2 linked regions of the Kluyveromyces lactis genome follow. The protein of the gene in region 1 binds, or shares a complex with, the protein of each later gene. Links are inferred from orthologs where the notes say so. Each region holds a gene or a part of one and is shown on either strand. Other genes may lie near its edges. The genes, in order: BMS1 and RCL1.

What was found.
Region 2: the proteins of BMS1 (region 1) and RCL1 are in contact, whole or in part, in a crystal structure (PDB 4CLQ), measured with the Saccharomyces cerevisiae proteins. The link is inferred for Kluyveromyces lactis from reciprocal best matches to the Saccharomyces cerevisiae genes BMS1 and RCL1. Residues at the interface, in NP_015107.1 of Saccharomyces cerevisiae: Ile549, Gly550, Leu552, Ile553, Tyr554, Met555, Asp556, Ile558, Ser559, Pro560, Glu561, Cys563, Ile564, Trp567, Arg568, Val606, Asp607, Leu608, Glu609, Lys610, Phe611, Val612, Pro613, Tyr614, Phe615, Asp616, Phe618, Leu621, Ala622, Lys624; in NP_014633.1 of Saccharomyces cerevisiae: Ser14, Gln15, Asn16, Phe17, Arg18, Leu19, Glu49, Lys94, Tyr98, Glu101, His125, Asn126, Asp127, Ala128, Ala132, Leu137, Arg185, Pro186, Ile187, Ile188, Ile191, Val215, Asn218, Leu219, Gln220, Cys221, Tyr256, Phe257, Glu259, Glu270.

Annotation. Positions count from the first base shown.
Region 1 is NC_006038.1:175,561-187,238, forward strand, and holds BMS1 (GTPase BMS1), read right to left. Parts: upstream 7,437-11,678; coding exon 3,933-7,436; downstream 1-3,932. Other genes in the region: RPL1B (60S ribosomal protein uL1), read left to right, coding at 1-335; KLLA0_B02024g (uncharacterized protein), read left to right, coding at 1,025-2,608; Arf family GTPase SAR1, read left to right, coding at 3,086-3,658; KLLA0_B02090g (uncharacterized protein), read left to right, coding at 8,158-11,517. UniProt on the Saccharomyces cerevisiae protein: GTPase required for synthesis of 40S ribosomal subunits and for processing the 35S pre-rRNA at sites A0, A1, and A2.
Region 2 is NC_006039.1:520,807-530,957, forward strand, and holds RCL1 (rRNA-processing endoribonuclease), read left to right. Parts: upstream 1-8,099; coding exon 8,100-9,194; downstream 9,195-10,151. Other genes in the region: E3 ubiquitin-protein ligase HRD1, read right to left, coding at 1-934; KLLA0_C05896g (OPA3 family protein), read left to right, coding at 1,268-1,744; HTZ1 (histone H2AZ), read right to left, coding at 2,189-2,587; PLB3 (lysophospholipase), read left to right, coding at 3,962-5,884; TAF4 (Taf4p), read right to left, coding at 6,410-7,510; MVP1 (Mvp1p), read right to left, coding at 9,363-10,151. UniProt on the Saccharomyces cerevisiae protein: Does not have cyclase activity. Plays a role in 40S-ribosomal-subunit biogenesis in the early pre-rRNA processing steps at sites A0, A1 and A2 that are required for proper maturation of the 18S RNA. RCL1 activates BMS1 by promoting GDP/GTP exchange.

The sequences.
Region 1 (11,678 bases):
ACTCTGCTTTCGTCGCTTCGGAAGTTTTGATCAAGCAAGTTCCAAGATTATTGGGTCCTCAATTGTCCAAGGCTGGTAAGTTCCCAACCCCAGTTTCCCACAACGATGATTTGTACCAAAAGGTCAACGACGTCAAGTCCACCATCAAGTTCCAATTGAAGAAGGTCTTGTGTTTGGCTGTCGCCGTCGGTAACGTCGAAATGGACGAAGACACTTTGGTCAACCAAATCTTGATGTCTGTTAACTTCTTGGTCTCCTTGTTGAAGAAGAACTGGCAAAACGTCGGTTCCTTGGTCATCAAGTCTACCATGGGTCCAGCTTACAGATTGTACTAAGCCAGCAACAACTACTGCCTTTTTAGCTTCCTATATCATTCTCTATTATTAAAAATGCATATATAAAGTTTTCAAATAACAGGATATTACTGGTTTACTCGTCTTCACTACAACCCAAACTTCCCGCAGAAGAAATCCGCTCGAGCCAAAACCTCGGACCGTTGTGGTCCATTTCCCATTATTATATCGCACAAACTATTGATGCGGTGCTTTCTTTTTCATCTAAGCATTTTTCCTCTTTACAGTGAACTTTTTGCTATTTATCCGGTGATTGAAAACACTGCAATTTCGGACCCAAATTTTGCTATATTTACTATTTATTATACATATATATGACTGTGCTACTGTATGGATACAAATTCAGTAAAAGAGAAAGACCAAGGCCCCACAAGCGAATAATAGTTAGAGCATCCTTTCAATACATTGCTGCTGCTTAAATCTGGGTCTCTACAAACAGAAAATAGCGGTTTGTTTTTAGGAGTATCTCCGCATTGAGGGACGAAGAAGTATCAGTTAAACTGAGTTTTTGCTTCAGTTTTGGTATTTGGTTTTGGTGAGTTTGAAACTAGCTTCTATTTATCCTCTAGGGGTCCTACCAGTGTTTTTATCGTTACTATTTGGATTTGATTTGCGAGATCAGTAAACAGCATCTTTTAGTAGCGTGTGCTGACCACATTTTTTGAAAAGAAATGGTTTTAAGTGGCTCTACATCGCCTAGAAACGCGTTCATTGGGGACAAGCGTGATTGGTTCAAGGTGAACGGTGTTTTGGATAGGGAAGAAGAATGTGATCCAAGTGATTTCGACGTTGAGGATGAAAGTTTTGGGTTACCTTTGAAAAGTCGACATCTAGACGGAAACTTCGATGATGTGTTACATACCGCCGATTCTAAAAAAGTGCGGTTCGCTGAAGGCAAAAACAGGATGACCGTGGAACAGCTATTGGAAAACACTAGTAACTTGAATATGTTCTTTGAAAATAATATAGAAAAAATTACGGACTTCAAATCCGGTTTGGATGTACAGGAATGGTATAGAAGTACAACGCCAGATACTCCGACAGGCATAAGTGCGAAAGCTACCGCGTCAGCGGGATCTGCATCTAATTTCCAGCTCAGTGAAGCTGGGGATAGAGACAATTCTACTGCGGGTGGCTTGGAGTCCGATCAAGAGAGTAATGTTTTCGATCGTCGGCTTTCAAATCTGTTGGCAACGACCTCGGTTTCCGATTATAAGTTGAACAACGAAGATAACAATAACTCTCACAACGAGCTGAATGGATTACCCAAATCTTTCCCCCTGGAAAAAATAGATGACCAAAGGGATAGTACACTTCTTATACATTCGTTACTGAAAACAAATTTAAACAATAATGAGGTGTTTGGTTTAGAAATGACATCCAGAGAAGCCTTACAAATACTCGATGATTTCCTGCAACTCGCTCTCCTATTGTCTTCTGATATGCGTAAGAATGCTGAGAATGGTATGACAAATCATGAAGGCGAAGTTAATGATAATAATGATGATAATGCTGATGATGATGATTCTGATAATAATAATAATAATAATAATAATAATAATAATAATAATAAAAATAAAAATAATAGTAACAATAATAATGCCAGTAGCGATGGCGATAATATTAACAATGATGATAATGACAATACTAATGATGAGAATAATAATCAAAATAATAATGATAACAATAGAAATAGTGATATCGGTGGCGACACTTCTAATGACAATGATAATTTGCATAATGAGCCCTCTGCGACCAAGTCAAAAACCGAAGATGACATAGAAATGGAGATAGATCATTGGTCTCATGAGAACCTCGAAGAAACTTCCAATATTAGAGCAATCTTTCAGATGAAATCAGCTCCTACTCTCTCCATATCCCAATATCTCGATAGAATCGAATCCAAATGTTCATTCCCGCCAATTATCTATTTGACAGCATCCTTCTTGTTAGTTACCTATTGCGACATAAAGTTCGACACTGGAAGTGGAAAATTTCATCTAGAAAACCCGATCACGGAATCCATGACGCATCGTTTGCTCATTGCATTCATCCGTTTGGCTGCCAAGTTACTTGAAGATCATGTACACTCCCATTCGTACTTTAGTAAGGTGTGTGGTATCTCTAAGAAACTTCTTTCTAAATTGGAACTGAATTTAGTTTTAATTCTACAAGACACCCAAGACGGTCTTCTTATCACTGAGCTTTCAATAAAAACTGTACTCGCACTACATGAGCATATAAACCTGAGCTGATGGTCGCCATTGTAATTTCCGGCGCACTCTTGCATCAACTGTATTTGCATAAAAGGAAGCAGTTACTTTTAGCACAAATTGATATTTCTAATGAAAAAACAACAACAAGCAAATCTAAAAAGTTGCAATTTCCATACACCTCCGTAATAACTGATTCCAAAGCTCTTTCATAAACGCACGTTCACATCCTGCATTGCTCTTTTATACCAAGTTATATTCACATAGTTGTAATGTGTAATCTTATATCAATCGTATCAAGTGATTTCAATTAATAGGAAGATCAAGAAACATTTGACCGTTTTACGAAAATGAACAGATTGGTCTTTCAAAAGAACAAAGGCAGGCATATTTTAAAAACAAAGTTTATGATCTTCATTTAGTTACTGTTAGTTAGTAATTCGACTTAAAAATTACGGCACTTTAAGCTACTAATTCTTTATTGACTCTTCATTTGTTGTACGGAAAATACAGTAAAAGATGGCAGGCTGGGATTTATTTGGATGGTTCAGGGACATTCTATCATCCCTAGGATTATGGAACAAGCATGGTAAGTTATTGTTCTTAGGTTTAGACAATGCTGGTAAGACTACCTTGTTACATATGTTGAAGAACGATAGATTAGCTACTTTGCAACCAACTTGGCACCCAACTTCTGAAGAATTGGCGATCGGTAATATCAAATTCACCACTTTTGATTTAGGTGGACATTTGCAAGCACGTAGATTGTGGAAGGATTATTTCCCAGAAGTTAATGGTATTGTGTTCCTAGTGGATGCTGCTGACCCAGAGAGATTTAACGAAGCACGTATTGAATTGGATGCTTTGTTCCAAATCAAGGAATTGGACAACGTTCCATTTGCTGTCTTGGGTAACAAGATTGACTCTCCAAGTGCCGTTTCTGAAACTGAATTGAGAGCTGCATTGGGTTTGATGAACACAACTGGATATACCAAAATTGAAGGTCAAAGACCTATCGAGTTGTTCATGTGTTCCGTTGTCATGAAGTCTGGTTACTCTGAAGCCTTCAAGTGGCTATCTGAATATATTTAAGTAGTTAAGCAAGCGCTACTAACGATATATAATAACTGCAAATATCACCTAATAAGCATGGAGAAGAATAACTATAATCATATATGCATAAAATACTTAGCTATGTTTCAGAATCTCATGGTCTCTTAGAATTGCATTAACATAGAAAATCTCCAGCTCAGAATCAACTCCAAATGCGACTCTTAACTAATACAGTAGTTCATTTTGGTTCTTAACAATTACTTTATACTCTATCATTCAAATTATGCAATGTAAATAGGTTAAAATACATAGTTTATTTCCTTTTCTTGGAAGACATAACATCACTTGTGTCATTGTCGTTGAATTGTCTTTTTTTACCGTTTTTGGAGAAGAAGTCCTTCTTACGTTGCTTCTCCTTTTCTTTCTTCGATTCCTCCAACTTAGCAAGCTTCTTGAGTCTTTCCTTCCTTTCTTCAGCTTTCTTGGATCTCTTCTTTTCATCCTTCGCATTCGAAATGGTGAGAACCTTTTGCATGAAGGAACGTGCCTTTTTCTCTTCGCCGCCTAGAACGACAGCTCTCTTAGCCATGTATGTTTTCTTCTTTTGCGGTTTCATTTGATAGATCTGGGATTTGAAAGGTAAGTCTTTGGCAACAGATTTTGGTACCTTTAAACCGTTGAAGTTCCTTTCAACTCTTTCAACCTTCTTATATGTACTGTCATTGTTGGTCGGTAAATCGATTCCAAGAGATGCTCTAATTTGACCAGTTAGTCTCAAACCCTTCCATTCAGTTTTATCTTTTAGCAACAATGAAGTAACTGGGTTGTAGAATTTCTTAACTTGGATTGGATACCATGACCTAAGAATTATAATGTCACTCAATAGTATCTTATCCTCAAAAGTTGCCCTGAAATGGCCTTCTGGTTTTGATAGAGCACGCTTGATTTCACCACGAATACCGGAAACAGTCTTGATTTGGGCACCTTCGAACCGTGCAACTTCCATAGCGCTAGAGAACATATCCTTTATGAAGGCAGTGTTCTTGAAGATTTTGTAAGGATAACCAACAAGCTTTAATTTCTTCACAATTTCTACGCTTGCATCGATCTCCTCTACAATACCAGTCGCAGCTATTCTGAAACTTCCAGTTGTATCACTGTTAGCAACTATTTGAACACCACAGAAAGTGGTATTTGGCGAGCACAAGGGACCATAGAAAGAAGCTGTACAATAAGCATGTTCTGGAGTATACTTCAACATTCTAGTCCTGGTTCTAGAGTCACTAGTGGTGTATATTGGTAGAGTTTGGAAACGTCTCCAACCAAGAGATAAAACTAAAGGATCATTTGTCTTGAGAATCTTTTTGTGCCAACGATGTCTTCTGACTCTTGCATTAATAATTCCGAACTTCAATTCTGTGGGAAGAAGACCTCCCATAATTACTGGATACTTTGGGTTGAAATTTTCGATGAATTCCATAGGAACCTTATCGAAGACAATACGAACATAAGACCCAGCTTTCATACCTTCGATTTGTTGCCTTTGTTCAGGAGTCATAGATTCCAGTTCGGCTTTATTGATTTCTAATTGTTTAGCAATCTTAGCCTTCTGTAATTCGTACCAGGTATCGTATTCATTTTCAGGGTCTTCTCCAAAGTTGTCTCCTTCTTCCATTTCGAATTGTAACCTTAATTTCTCTTTTTTTGCGGCATTCAATTCACGCTCTTCATCCTGGGTCAAATCCTTCTTTTCTTCTTCTTCGAAATCAGCGAACGATTCGTTGCTATCAGATTCTTCATCTCCTGCAGCAGAATTCTCCTCCTTCTCATCTGTGTTTTCAGGCTCAGCTTCTAAGTCCTCAAAATCACCGTATACTTCATCTTCATCATCGTCTTCATCCTTTACATCATCAGAAGACTTGGTGTTTAAGGATGGCTTTCCAACAAATCTGTCTTTGATTGAATCGGCAGTTGACCATCTTTCAACAAGGTCATTGAATGTATCAAAATAAGGAATAAATCTTTCAAGATCATCGTGGTAAGTTACTGCCTTATTCGGTGTAGTATTTGTCTTTTGGGTGAAGAATTCAGTATCTTCATCGTCTTCTAGATCTTCTTCAACTTCAGTTTCGTCGGCCTCGCCGTTCCATCTTTTGATTGCATCAGCTGGAGCAATGTTGTCCATGTAGATAAGTTTGCTGATATCCCACTTTCTTCTTTTATTCTTTGTACCATTCAATTTACCAGCTGTGGTTCTTTCCCAACCTTCAGAATCAGATGCATCCAATTCTGAATCTGTCTCAAAGGCCATGTTTTCAGGTTTTTCGTCATCAAAATCAATTTCAACTAATTTAGTGCGATGTGCTTCATCTTCGTCATCATCTTCATTATAGTTTTCGTTGTCACTTGATAAATTATCGAGATCTGCGTTAGATTCCTGAAGGGATTTGCCGTATACTCTTGCCTTTCTTAAGGAAGATCTACCAACGTTTCCTCTATCAACATCATCCTCGTCTTCGGTGTCTTCTTCAACTTCTTCATCCTGATCTTCAATAGCATGTAACTCAGTACTATTTGAGAAAAGCTGCAATCCAACATTCTCGAATTTTTCATCAATGGAACGAGATGTAGCCTGTAGGTTGGACACGATCTTGTCACTTTCATCTTTTTCCTCTGCAGTCATTGAGTTTGGACCTGTCTTACCGCCAACATCAATGAACACGGCATCCTTATCCATAAGTAAACCACCAACGTCAGACATTGGAGCATAGATCAGCTTTTGTTTATCATCCAATCTTTTACGTCTTCTTACAGTCGTTGCTGATGTGGAACCTTCTTCCTTAGCACGTTCACGTTCAAATTCATCTAATTTCTGTTGGTAATAAGGTGTCGGACAAGGATCAGGCAATTTCTCAACGTGATCGATCTGGTAGTCACCTACACCGGCGATATGGACCCTGTAGCCTGGAGTCGAAGGTAACGGAGTACCGTGTAAATAACCATAGATGGCGACTTTACGATCTATATGCATACCCTTCGATTGTAAGAGTTCTGGATGAGTTAAATCGGATATTCTATCGGCCAATAAATAAGGATGTTCGTTTCTCCATTGCAAAGGTCTGAACTTCATAACACTTATAAACCTTGACAAGTTCAAAATCTCTCTATCTGGATAACGACCGTTAATAACACCAGAAAGGTAGAAAAGCTTGGCACCCTGATACACTTCGGTCCAGAACCTATGTTTCAAAGATTTCTTAGAGGCACGCAATGTTGACTGGGATTTGAAAAGATCCAAATGTGTAGCGACACCTAGTACACGAGGCATACCATGATGTTGAGCCAAATTCAAGAATTCCATGGTCTCCATTTCAAACCCGAAATTACCATCCATCATCAAAAGCACCAAATCGGCCACTTTTGAAATATCGATCATGGAATTCAAATCATCCGCAGGACATTCGATAAAAGTCAGCCTTCTACGCTTACCAGAAACAACAGTAATAGGACCGTTAATTTCGGATAAAGTGGTCTTTGTCAACCTTCTCACTAACGATTTGATCAAAGTAGTCTTACCGGTACCTGGAGGACCAACAACAGCAATAATGATCGGAGGAGGATCATCATCTGGGGTACGATCCACCATCGGAACATGCAACTTCTTCTCATTCTTATCACCCGTACGTTGCATCTGCTTAGCCATTTTCCCCGGAGCGGAGACAGCAAAGGCCTTAGCATTGTGGCCCTGAGAATGTAACTTCTTCTTGGCACCAGCCTTCTCCTTCCGCTTCCTATGTTCTTTATTCGATTGTTCCATTGCTGAAGCTTGAGAGTCTTAAGATGTATTCAGGCAATGTGATTCGAACTAACTGGCCTAAAGTGACCCTTTTGATTCAATTCAAGATACTAGAATCTTTTATGTTCACCGATGAGATGAGATGAGATGGTTGAGCTTCTTCATGCAATTTTTCATGCAGGGTAAGAAAAAGAAATGATCTGAACCTTGTCGATATCTAATCACGTGATTCTGCACGTGATCTGATTTTTAAGAATTTAAGGTATTCTGTCAGTTTTGTAGATATTCCTACATGTCTCTGCCGTAGTAACTAGGGCCCAAGGGCATATGGAAAAAAAAGCGTTCATCGAAATTCGAACATCAAAATGAAATCGAAATCCAATCAAATGCACAAACAGAACAGGATAGAACAAAGGTCAATGAATCAACGGTTGGATTCCGAATAAAAGTCGTTTGTTTCATTCGTTTCCCTAAAAGTTGTTGTGTTTTTTATCTTTAGTTCGTTTGTGTGGTGATTTGGATTTCACAACAAGAACTGTACGTTCTACACCAGTTATATTGTTGTGGATACGAGACAACATCTTTTGGTCATAGAAAACACATACTGTTCTTATTCTTTCCAATCTGTGTGCGTGTAATTTTTACTGAGTTGAAGCAGGAAAGCTAGGATAACAGAGTCTTCAGTGGTGTGTGTTTCCTTGTTGAGCTTTTTATTTTTTGGATAGAATACACAGTGTGAGCAATGGTTTTGTATAAAAGGAAAACGATAACGTTGCCAGATGCTAGGCCATTACCGTCAAATATCAATAGGAAAATATGGTACATTCAAGAGACAGGGGAATGGTTTTTGACTTATGCAGAGTTTTTGCAACGATTGGATTTTTATAGGCGACATTATTTCACCTGTGAGATCACTGGTACATCATGTTTAACTTTTTTTGAAGCGTTGAACAGTGAAGAAGAGCAGTTCCAATACGTTGAGAAAATGTTCCCTTTAAAATTACGTGAACCTGTTGCAAAATTCATCCATTTCAACGAGATTAGAAGGCTAGATATGCTCGTCGAACAGGTATATGCAAGATTTAAAAACGACTATTTCCCTGGAGAAACGGTATACCTACGGAAAAGTAAGCAAGATTCCTCACATGACGATGCTGAAAAACATCATCAGCACTCACATGGATCACAGCATCAAAAAATTTACATTATCAAAGAAAAGGCTCAGTTTAATGCAGTTATAGATAGAGATACAAGGCAAGAATTGGTTCCTGCCCATGCAAAATATATGTTACAGGAAGCACAAGGTAGTACTTCAATCGTTGCCGATGAGGATCAGATTTATCGTGATAGATCATGTTTCACTAAGCATTTGATTAAATGTTTCTGTAAGATAACGTTGCGTCGTGCTTCAACTAAGATGGGTGCCCCATGGTGTGTGAAAGATGAATATTTGCCCATCTATAATTTAACCTTAACGTGGCCAGAAAGTATGCTAAAATACAAGGAAGATTACGTAGATCCGCAGTATTTGCAACAACTTCAACACATGGCGGAACTTAATCGAGAAAGAGAAGCTTCGGCAGCCATTGGTGAGCATAAACGAGAAATTGAAATTGCTAGAACAGAAACACCAGATCAGAAAAGAATAAAAACTGAAGAACTGATATCTGAATCCTCACCTTCGGTTGACCATACCAGTAACGACAATAATCAAATAACCAATGGCGATCAACAAAGCATAACGCAAATCACTGAAGATTTGGAAATACCTTTCATGGCACCAAGGCCTTCAGCTATCAACGATGCACTTTTAAAATACTCTAAGGAGTATGTGCCAATCTCAAATTCTCTCGATAAACCATTTGCGCATGATATTGGTAAACTCCTTCATTGTTATCAGTTTTTAATGGCATTTAATGCGACCCTTCAACTTTCGGAATTTAGTTGGGATGATTTTGTAAATTCTTTGAGATTTACTGATCCGCGCCAAATGATGGACGAGTACGTAACGATTAGTTATGAGGACGGTACGGGTACTAAGGTGGAAAGAATTAATATCTGGAATGAATCGATATATAAATATATTGACTCTTCAAATTCAGAAAAAATGAAGTTCACCTTGTCCTTGGACACTATGATAAATGATGACTATTTGGACGAGTTGAAAATAACAGGTACTTCCTTGATAGTGGAGTGTTTTTGTTCACTGTTAAGGTTGTTCATAGACACCAGTGGGGATTGGACGACATTAGTCCCTTCGGAGTGGCTTGAGGAGGACACGGACGAAAATTCGAGTGAAAATGAAGATTTAGAGATGGAAGAAAACGACGAAGTTAGTGCTGATCTTGAATCGTTATTAGAGAAGTGTTTAAACTATCGAAAAGTAAAATGGACAGACAGGCTTTCTAAGAGGCAATTTAACAATGGTTTCTGGTTGATAGTTCTCTTAGGTGTTCTCCAAGACTTCATGCATTTACCAATGTATAAATCGACAATTCAAGGCTTCATCAAAAATCTGGTGCCGTCTGAGCACACCCCGTCAAATATTTCCTTGAATAGGTACTTATGGAGAAAGTTTTGCAAAGATATTTCTGTTGAGGAGAAAGTTAACATTATGTGGATATTAGTTGAAATATTGAGCAACTACTCATCAATAATAAGATCTGCAATGGATGATTCAATGGAACTTTGTAACCAAATTAGAAGTGAGAGGTTTAGATTGAATAGGGATCTTAAAGCATGTTCTAATACTGTTGCTGGACTAAAAGAACAATTTACAGTTTCTGAGTTGCAACAATCTGAGAGCAGTAATGATAATATCGAACTGAAAGAAAACCTAAAAAAAGCAACAGATCAACTGGAACGGTTCCAAAGGAGGAAAAGCTTTTTTGATGCTAGGTTGATTGAAGCTGATCTTCAAAGACTAAAACCCTTGGGATATGATAGATATGGTAACAAAATCTACTGGTTAGAATATTGCGGAGTTCCTAGGCCGAACATATTCTCGAAGGCTTCACACTTATTAAGCAATAGATTGTGGATCCAAGGACCTGTCAAAGAAGCTGTGCTATACTACTTCAAGATAACGGAAGAAGAGTACAATCAATGGATTTCTTTAGCTAACGAATTGGGTAAAATTCAAGCCACCAAACAGGTTTTCCATGTTTATCGCGATGAGAAAGGTTGTTATTTCCACTACGATAAAGAGGGAGATATCATGTTGATAAATGAAGAAGGTGTTTTCAATACGTTCATTGAACTTTCGCCACTTCAAAGAAAAATTATTGATGAGACACCGGAAGGTCTTTTGTTTACTCCTAATGACTGGATATTCTTGCAAGATCCTGAACAACTCATTTCGATGACTAATTGGTGGGACAGCTGGGGAAAACGAGAACATGAAACACTGAAACAGTTGCAATCAGTTATGGAGCCGGTGATAGAGACATTAAATCAATATAAGACTCAAGTTCAAGACGAAGTTACTGAAAAAAGAGAATTGTTACTGAAAGAGATTGCGGCTTTGGAAATAGCGGATAACGAATTAAGTGTAGATGATACAGTGGACGACAGAGATGAGTCTGATATAGAAGGCGAGTTAGAGAAGATTGCACAAGATATAATGGCTCTTGATGACTCATCTAAGACTCGTAAGATTCTTCTGAAACTGGAGCAACTCGAAGCACAGCGTGACGAGTTATTGGCAAAGAAAAAAGCGTTGGATGGTAAAGAGACTGAAAATGGTGCCAAGATGTCAAGGTTGCAAAGGAAATCATTACGTGCATCTCGTGACAGAAAAATGACCGTCCTCAAAAAAAGCTTTGATAAGCTTTTAAACCTACAAAGAGAAACAGAACGCATTTCAATCAACAACTGGACGAATAGAAAAGCCATTGAAGCTTTCGGTAGTGAATTAGCCAAGTGCAACGGTAATCCAAAGACTTCAAAGAATCCCGAACCGGTTACTGTCAGTGACACATTCGCAGAAATCCTAAGACAAGCAGTGATCGCAGAGAGCGAGCCGGTAAAAGAAGAGACCGAAGACAGCAATGCAAATGCAGAAATACAGCCAAAAACTATACAAGACGAAAATTCCGCATGAATTGTGTCCGCCTGTATAGAATATATATATATATATGTATATAGTTTCATAACGAACCGATTATCAATTGTACTATAAAACCGTCAGCCAACTTCATCATTAATCACAAAATACGACTCTCATTAAACTTCAACTTTCTTTTTTTCCTAAAGTCTGAAAAG
Region 2 (10,151 bases), on another chromosome or scaffold:
CCCACAGAACCGTCACCATCATTACTCTGCCGGTGGAGAAAGAGGAAGCGAATTTAATTATAACTTTAACAGTACTAATGAAAACATCAATTAATTTCTCATAAATGAATTTCCCTTCCAATCCTGCATTTTCCTCATCCTCATCCTCATCTTCTTCAATGGCAACGGCATTTGGCCTTTCTTCGTGATTGATAACAGGCTCATCGACGTGATGATCCGCATTGCGACGAATTCTTGCTCTGTTTTGAATAGTAGAAAGCTCAAACAAATTGAGCCCAGTACGTAAGATAACCTGCAGTAAATCTGTCCCAAGTATAGCATATTGGCTTATAATGAACAGGGTATATGTAACGTCAATGTTAGATTTGTACAAGATCTTATTAACGTAATATGCCACTATGATACCATCTACGGCTGTTAGGACTAATAAATTGAACATGAACCTCGAAAGTAATATATCTTTCAAAGTAAGGCGCATGTCATTTGCCTGGAAAGTGACTTCCATTCTGTCCTTGAGGATCCAGTGTAACGTTCTACAGCAAACAAAAAGCACACAGTGTATCTGCATAACTGAGATGAGCCCATTCATCGACGAGCACGATAATAACAAAGTTATTACGGTATACGATATCCGTTCGAGAATATGTTCATATTCAATCAACCGTAACTGTCCAAATAGCATGTGAATGACACCCTTTAGTATTAAGACGCTGTTTAATAGAAAGAGATTCCCCCATATCATGGCATGGATACCCTCGGTAATCTTCGTCATTGCATGCAAATAAGAGAAAGATGTTGTTACACAATAATGTAAAGACCATGCGGCTGCCGTATATGACATAAGGGAGTAGGCAATAAACTTTTGGGTCAGAAACACATTTTGCGGTTGACCAGGAGCACCAGCTTCAGGATTCCGATTGAATAAACCAAACATGACGTCGACGTTGTAGCAAGCTTGAGAAGAATCAAAAGGTCAGTCTCCGAAAAGTGATAGGACATAAACTGTCTCAGCTCCTTGTTTCGATTCCCAGTTTTGTCTGCAAGATGTTTCTCTTTGGATCATTTCACAGTTTTAAACCTTTTTTTAGTCTGTATAAACGTTTCGATATCTTTCAAGTTGCGTATAAGAAAAATAGAGTTTGATAAAATACATACATGGGAGTGTAGAAGAGTTATATCAAGGGAAAGCTGAAGTTCTGCTATGTCTAAGGTTGCGTAGTTGATGCTATATAGGTATACGTGCTAAGGCGGCGAGTTAAGAGAATAAATGAGTGCTATAGCATTGAAACTGGGTGCGTTGCTTGTACGGCAGGTTACACGACCAATGGCAAACGTGCTGAAGCGGCAAGCAAAAGAGCATGCTGTATTCAAGGAAATTTGCATCGGTTTGGCCCAGAAAATGCACGTTGCAGATGTTGTGTTGAGAAGCAAACTGACGCCAACTAAGTTTTCCAAAACGATTCGTCCGTTGAACGATACGAAAGCTGTTGAAAATGGTGCAACGTTGCTCAGCGAAGGCTTTGTATTTGGTGTTACGGGTAGTGTTGTAGTGTGGGAGACTTTAAGACAGCGTCAAAAGGAGCTGGATAGACGTGAACAGGTCACTCAAGATATTGCTTTTTTACAATCGGAAATCGAAGAACTGAGATCAACGACTAAGACCCAAAGCGACCAAATAAAATCATGTCAAAGTCTTAAGGAAGAACTAAAATTAATTCAGTCAAAACTCTCCTCACATAAATGAAAATACAAAAAGGATATTGGACCACCGATATTCTAACGGAACAAACTTGTATATAGTCCTATTCTGGAATGAATAAGTATTTGAGTATAGACGTAAACACAAGCTCTAATATTAACAGGTCATGAGTAAAAGTAGGAATTGGATTATAGATGTTACATATACATAACTGTTTAATAAAAATATGGAAATGGAATAGATGAGGGTTAAATTGCACTTTTGATATTTTGAGATAAGATAATGCGGTGAATTAGTAGTGTACCATCACGACAAGGGAAAAGAGAGGGGGGGGAAGTGGAGATGAAAATATACAACCCTTCACCCTGGGATATGATTACAGTTAGAGTCAAAAAGTAGAAGAAATATAATAATGAAATAACAATAGAGAGCTGTTTTTAAGCGCTTAGTCTCATTAAACTTCATTCAAATTGATACAATTTTCACGCTTCATTTATGCTTCTTTTCCACTTTCAACAACAAAGCCTTGTTGATATGAGGTAGAACACCACCAGAAGCGATAGTGGCTCTGATCAAGGAGTCTAATTCATCATCACCTCTGATAGCAAGTTGTAAATGTCTTGGGGTAATTCTCTTCACCTTCAAATCTTTAGCAGCGTTACCAGCCAATTCCAAAACTTCAGCAGTCAAATACTCAAGAACAGCAGTCAAGTAAATAGCAGCCTTGGACCCAACACGGGTTCTTCCAGCAGCATTTCTCTTCAAATAACGCTTCACTCTCCCAACCGGAAACTGAAGACCAGCTCTAGCAGAATGTGATTGTGATTTCAATGAACCACTGTCTTTGGCTCCCGACTTACCCTTTCCACCGTGTACTTTTCCTGACATGTTGTTTCTCCTATAATAACTTTAATATGCTCTTTCTTGCAATGTCTGATCGTATATATCTCAAACTTGAAAGCAAACAGCAGATTCTATCTTTTCTTAGTCCCTCTGGTCCAATATTCAACTTATGTGAAGTTAAGTTAAGTTAAGTTGATATCGATTTGTTTTTGTTTGTTTTGATGTTTATTTTTTATTTTTATTTTTCTGTCTGAAAGTTTCGTGTTTCCTCTCTTACTTTCATATTGTGAGATTTGCTACAAGTAATAAGATTTGGGGTAAGGGCTAGGAAGAACCGGGAGGGACGAAGGTATTTGAAATAATGAAGATATACAGGCATCGACATGTCTGGAGTTGTCAAAGGTGAACATACGGTTTGATTGGTCTAGCTTTGAAGTGCAGTTTGCCGCTTTCTTGATTTTTTTTTTTTTGCCGCCTGCTATTCTACCGGTTGTTTTTTTTTTCCTTTTCCCTCAGACGAGACAGCATGGCAGGGTAACTATTTATGAACTCGAGATGCTTGCAACCTTGTACCCTTAAAGAGCGTAGGAGCCACTGATGGATTTAAGAAACGTTCCGGCTCATTTCGAAGAACATATGGTAGTGGTGTTACTGCAATGATGGTATTTTCACTGTGTGTCCCCTTTAATTTTAAATGAGGGCCGGAATTCGTTTTTCGAATGGAATAGTAAAAGGGCTTTAAAGTGAATGCTTGACAACTGAGCATTTTCAGTTAGACTAATGTTCCAATTTTTGTACGTGCATCCGAAAATTTGTCTGTATTGCCAGCCTCTTTTACCTCCTTTCCTCCAACTAATAGGGGCTTCATGCAGCGTCTATTATAGGGGGAAGGGCATTTACTTAACAAAATTTTTGGAAACCCTTTGATAATAATGCACTTGTACCATTTCTTAGGTGCGTCGTTACTATGGTAATACATAGATTGTATTTTCCGTGCGTTTTTTTAGACATTTTTTTGCGGGCATGCGTGATGAATTCTAACTATAACAATCCTACACACTTTGCGTGAAGAAAAGTGGAAAATATAGAAGTTTAAATGCTCAGCTAATATTTTGTCATAAATCAATAAACTATGGAACCTGGTGAATATATAACAATGCTACCGTTTCTCTCATCTACATCTTGAGTCCTAACTCGACCCAATTAAGTTGATTTCCAAGTCCATAACTTAAAGCAGTTAAACAATCAGCTTTTACGATAGAAAGTCCACACTCGGTAAAATCAAACGATTATTTTATTGAATCTTTTGGAGTGTGTCACTTCTGTACATAGTATTATCGTGAAGGGCGCAGACATCAACTCTGAGTTAGGTTATCTATAGAATTGTTCCGAGTTAAAGATTAGTTTATTCCTTTTCTGATGTGGTTTTTGAACTCAGTTAATCTGTTGTTTCTGGTATGTTCGGTTGCCCTACATCTAGATGCCGTTAACGCATGGTCTCCGACAAATGGTTACGCTCCTGGTGTGGTCGATTGTGATGAGAATATAAACTTGGTTAGAAAAGCTGATGCTGTTTCAGATGATGAAGCGGATTGGTTGAAAGTTAGACACGAATCTACTGTACCAGCTTTGAAGGACTTCTTGCAGCGTGGTTTTAAGGGTTTTACCAATGACACCTCAATCATTGATAAACTGTTAGCGACCCAAGACACTGCTCCCAAGGTTGCTATTGCCTGCTCTGGTGGTGGTTATAGAGCAATGTTGAGCGGTGCTGGTATGATTTCTGCCATGGATAATAGAACTGACGGTGCAAATGATCATGGTTTGGGTGGGTTATTACAAAGTTCAACTTATTTGGCTGGTTTGTCTGGTGGTAACTGGCTCGTTGGGACTTTGGCCTACAATAACTGGACTTCTGTTCAAGCAATTATCAACAACATGACTGACGATAATAGTATTTGGGATATTAGTAATTCTATCGTCAATCCTGGCGGTATCAACATTTTTTCCAGTATTTCTCGTTGGGATGACATCTCAGACGCAGTGGAAGAGAAAAAAAAAGCCGGCTTCAACACATCTATAACTGATGTATGGGGCCGCGCCCTATCTTACAATTTCTTCCCATCATTGGACGAAGGTGGTGTGGGTTATACGTGGAATACCTTGAGAGATGTTGATGTTTTTAAAAATGGTGAAATGCCTTTCCCTATTTCAGTAGCTGTTGGTAGATATCCCGGTACTCAGGTTGTCAATTTGAATGCAACTGTCTTTGAATTTAATCCATTTGAAATGGGCTCCTGGGATTACACCTTACATACTTTCACCGATGTTAGATATGCTGGTACCAATGTTACTAATGGTACTCCAAACGTAACAGGAAAATGTGTTGCAGGCTTCGATAATACAGGTTTTGTTATGGGTACGTCCTCCTCCTTGTTTAACCAATTTTTATTACAACTTAACACTACTGATTTGCCATCTTTCTTGTACAACTTACTTCACGGATTCTTGACTGATGCTTCTGATGATTACGATGACATCTCGATTTGGGCACCAAACCCGTTCTACGAAATCACGAACATACCTTCTAATTATTCCCAATCCATCAGTGAAGATGATACATTGTATTTAGTGGATGGTGGTGAAGATGGGCAAAATATCCCATTGACACCATTGCTGCAAACTGAGCGGGAAATCGATGTTATCTTTGCTTTGGATAACAGTGCAGACACGGATCAATCTTGGCCTGACGGATTTTCATTGACTCAGACTTACGCTCGTCAATTTGGTCTGCAAGGGAAAGGCATTGCCTTCCCTTATGTTCCAGATGTGAACACTTTCACCAATCTTGGATTAAATACAAGACCTACCTTCTTTGGGTGCGATGCAAGAAATTTGACTGATCTAGAATCAATTCCACCTTTAGTAGTTTATATGCCAAACACAAGGGAGTCCTTCAACAGTAACACATCTACGTTTAAAATGTCGTACTCCACTTCCGAAAGGTTTAAGATGATCCAAAACGGTTTCGAAGCTGTCACCATGAAAAATCTCACTAAAGATGAGAACTTTATGGGGTGTATCTCATGCGCCATATTGAGACGGAAACAAGAATCACTAAATTATACACTTCCATCTGAATGTGATGCTTGTTTCGAAAAATACTGCTGGAATGGAACTGTCGATGCCACCACCCCTATCTCAAGCACTACATCCTCCTCTGCAAGTTCCACCTCAACATCTGATTCCGGCAATAAAGAAAATAGTGCCAGAATTTTGGCCCCAAGAAGTACGCTATCTTTGTTGATTGGAGGTTTAGCTAGTGTCTTCATCTCTTTCTAGTTTACCCATGAGTATCAAACTAAAACCAAAAAAATATATATGCATTGAGTTTTCAGATGTTCATGCAGATTCGTTCTTATGAATTCGTCATTGTACCTCCTTCGTTTCCAATTTCTCTAGATGATCTCCTTTGACCAATGACCAAATCATTGACAAGACTGGAGTATATAAAAGTATCTTGATATGATTCGTTAAAAAGTAATATAATAGATACAAACGATAAATGGTACCGAATTGCGTCGATCATTAGTGTACTTATTAAAGCGTCGTGTGAAGTAATGGTTTAATAAACTCTATTTTTTTTAAACTTTATTTGTCTCTGACGTGATTTTGAGTATTTAGATACTAAAAAATGAAAACTATCTTTAAATATTAAATATGCGACATGTCAGGTAGAAAAGGAAAAGTAATCTCGCATGCAAGTATGAGTCTCTATGTTATTTATCGAAAGGTTTATATTATATAAGTATGCATACTACAGAACATCTCGGAAACTCATATTATTCCTCAAAGTAACTGGAAATGCTAGTCTCTGATTCTAGCATATCCTTTAGTGATAACATTATTAACTCCTACTCGCCTATTTTCTAAAGCTAAAAGAAGGTCCCTCATAACGATGCCAGGTTCTTCTCTTGCTTCTCTATATTTGATACCCATTTCACCCCTTGCTGCAACAGCAGATGAAACATTTCCCTGATTTTTTAGGTCTGTCGAGCTGGACTTGGATCCAGCGGTCAACCAACTATATTTTTTTTTGTTACCCCCTGCAATCATCAAATTGGCAGTTGCATTTGATGCACGATATTGAGTCTCTTCAGTATCTAACCTAGCATCCGTTGTTTGTTTTTCTAAACCGAGTGCTATTCTTCTCTGTACTCTTCTTTCTTCTTGAGTCTTTTGTCTTAATGCTAAATCCCTCAAAGAACGACTCACTTCACTCCTCCTTCCCGTGTTTAGTTTAACACCTTTCCGTCTATGTATGGATAGGATTAAAGAGTTCGTTATCACGTCCCTCATGTAAAGTTCACATGCAGTAGACATTAATCCGAGTATATCAGTGTTTTTATTGAAATCTTGATGAAAGTTTTGTTCTGATGCAATTCTTTTCATGAAATCTGAAATGTTCTTAGGATGTAGGAATGGAGGATGAGATGGGACCTGGTTATTTGCTGAAATACCGGTTGCTTTTGTTCTAGCAACTGTGCTACTTAGCAATGCCTCTTCCTCTCTTATATCAACACCGGCCGATAACAAAGCATCACTAAGCTTGTCTGGATCACTTTGCTGTGGTTTTGTAGTTGAGGCAGTCGTACTACCTGTTGAACCCCCGGCATTCTTCTTCTGTTCTGCTTTCTGTGATTGTTTGCTTGTCGTACTCGTCGTCTTCAAATTTGGCGTACTTGAGTTTCGCGGAGATGCTAGGTTTGTAGTTGGAGATGATGCTTTAGGTAGAGCTAATGGCTGTTCTGTAACCATAGTATCGAATGGCGTAGGCAGATCACTGCCAAAATCTGAGCCACTGGGTTCCAGCCCGTTCTCTACTTTGCCAAATTCGAATGATTTGGAACGTTTATTTGAAGATAAATCTTCCGGTTCAGAATTCTTTCTCTTGGGCGATTTTGCCATCGTATTTTATACTAATTAGACCAATAGTGATAGTTTTCTCTGGTGAAACACGGGGGTAAAAAGAATCGTATTGGATACTTGAGGACACCTATTGCACTTGTCCCAAAAATGCAGGCAAATAAACTATGAAAAGAATAAGTCAATCTTTAAAAACAGGTCCAAATGCGGCCTATCAATTAAAATCCAGTTTCAGCGAAAAACGTACAACCTTAATGATTTCAACAAAGATAAAAAAACGTGCGAGTATTAAACATTATGCTAAAAAGTTCTATCTAGTTCCTACCTCTTTCTTCATTTAGATGCTATTGTTTGCTGGCTTTGATTTTTTCAAGATTGAAAGATCACATAATCCGGGTAACGAAGCTCATTTCTTTTCCTTGCAAAAAATTTGTCAAAAGCGTATCTCATCTCATCTCATCGCCTAACTGAACATACAACACAAAACCAATATCGAAAGGTTTCAGTTAACTTCCATCAACCATTCCATTAGCGTCCGATAGAAGGTCACTTTCTGTATTAAAAACTCTAAAGAGATTTATCAGGAAATTTATTCCTCACGAAGTAGGACAGACAAACAGACAAATTGGACATGTCATCCTCTTCCAGATACGTAACCTTTGAAGGTTCACGGAACTTTCGTTTACGAGTAGTAATGGCTACATTGTCAGGAAAAGCTATAAAGATAGAAAAGATACGTTCTGATGACCTAAATCCGGGTTTAAAAGATTACGAAGTCTCTTTTCTAAGATTGATGGAAGCGGTAACGAATGGTAGTTCAATAGAAATTTCATACACTGGTACCACCGTCATCTTCAGACCAGGAATAATTACTGGTGGTTCATACACACATCAATGTCCGAACAGTAAACCTGTGGGCTATTTTGCCGAGCCAATGTTGTATTTAGCCCCCTTCTCAAAGAAGAAATTCTCAATCCTATTCCGTGGTATAACATCTTCACATAATGATGCTGGAATAGATGCGATAAAATGGGGGTTGATGCCGATTATGGAAAAATTTGGCGTCAGGGAATGTGCATTACATACTTTGAAGAGAGGTTCACCTCCTTTAGGTGGTGGTGAAGTACACCTTGTTGTGGATTCATTGATTGCACAACCGATTACAATGCACGCCTTGGATAAAACAATGATTTCAAGTATAAGAGGTGTTTCATACTCCACAAGAGTCAGTCCCTCCCTTGTAAATAGAATGATTGATGGTGCGAAAAAAGTTCTTAAATCTGCTAGTTGTGAAGTAAATATAACTGCAGATGTATGGAGAGGTGAAAACTCAGGTAAAAGTCCAGGTTGGGGTCTAACGCTCGTAGCAGAGAACAAACAAGGATGGAGAATCTTTTCTGAAGCTATCGGTGACGCTGGGGATGTTCCAGAAGATATTGGTGCATCCGTAGCCTATCATCTACTTGAAGAAATAAGCAAAAGTGGAGTTGTTGGAAGAAACCAGTTGCCACTTACAATTTTATACATGATCATCGGTAAAGAAGATATCGGAAGACTCAGAATCACTAAGGATCAAATAGATGAAAGATTTGTATGGCTCTTACGGGATATCAAGAAAGTTTTCGGTACAGAAATACTCTTGAAGCCAGTGGATGATAACACTACGGATCTAATCGCAACAATCAAGGGTATTGGATTCACAAACACCAATAAGAAAATCGCATAATTGACATTACATATCATTTTATCTGACAAAATGACTCCCATAAGTATTCATATATAAAATTTATATGCATATGTGTCAACACAAATTCCTTCGCGTAGCACTTATTATTATCGTATCAAACAATTCCATAAAGCTTGGAACATTCAAGATAAATATTGTAGGATAGTTTTAGTGTCTTTGCAGGGGCATATCGCGGAGCTTTTTGCAAATTTTTTCCCAATTGTCAACATTGTTATTAGTGTATCTCAAATTTATTTCAATCCACCTCTGGAAGCAATCTGTAATCAAGAATTGAGTTTCATGGAATATTGTGAATTCCTCCAATATACACTCCCTGATCAACCAGCTTCGGTTCATTTGATCGAGTATGCTTCTTTTATCTCTGGAGATGCTCTGTTTTACACGATCATATTCTGCTCCTTTCACATCAGGGTTGCTTTCCAAAGTGTTCAATCTTTCTTGATTTATTTCTACCCTTCTTTGTAACTGAGGAATATTGTTACCTGCCATCATCTTATATCTCTCAAACAATCCTTTCAACGCTATAATAACGTCAATGAAAGCCTTGAATCTAACCGAGAGGCCACTGTCGACTTCCTCGTTTTCTCTTTCTATGACATCTGCACATGAATTCAAATGCTCTACTATCAAACCAACACCTTCGTTTATTTGAGAAACTGTTGCAGTGGATTGTGGATACAATGCTTCCGTTGTGTCTGGAATAGCATTAAGGATTTGTCCTAATAATTTTCTTTCATGGGCAACTTGTTTCATCCTTTTCTCGTATCTTTCTATTAAAACAGTAACTTTAACCCATGTATCCAATGCAATATCAATTCTTTCGTCTGCTTTATTCCATTGTTCGGAAAATTCCTTCCTCCATAAATTCATGAATGAAGAAGATATATGCTTATCAGTAAATTCATCTGTTGTATCGTAATGCGCTTGTTTTCTCCA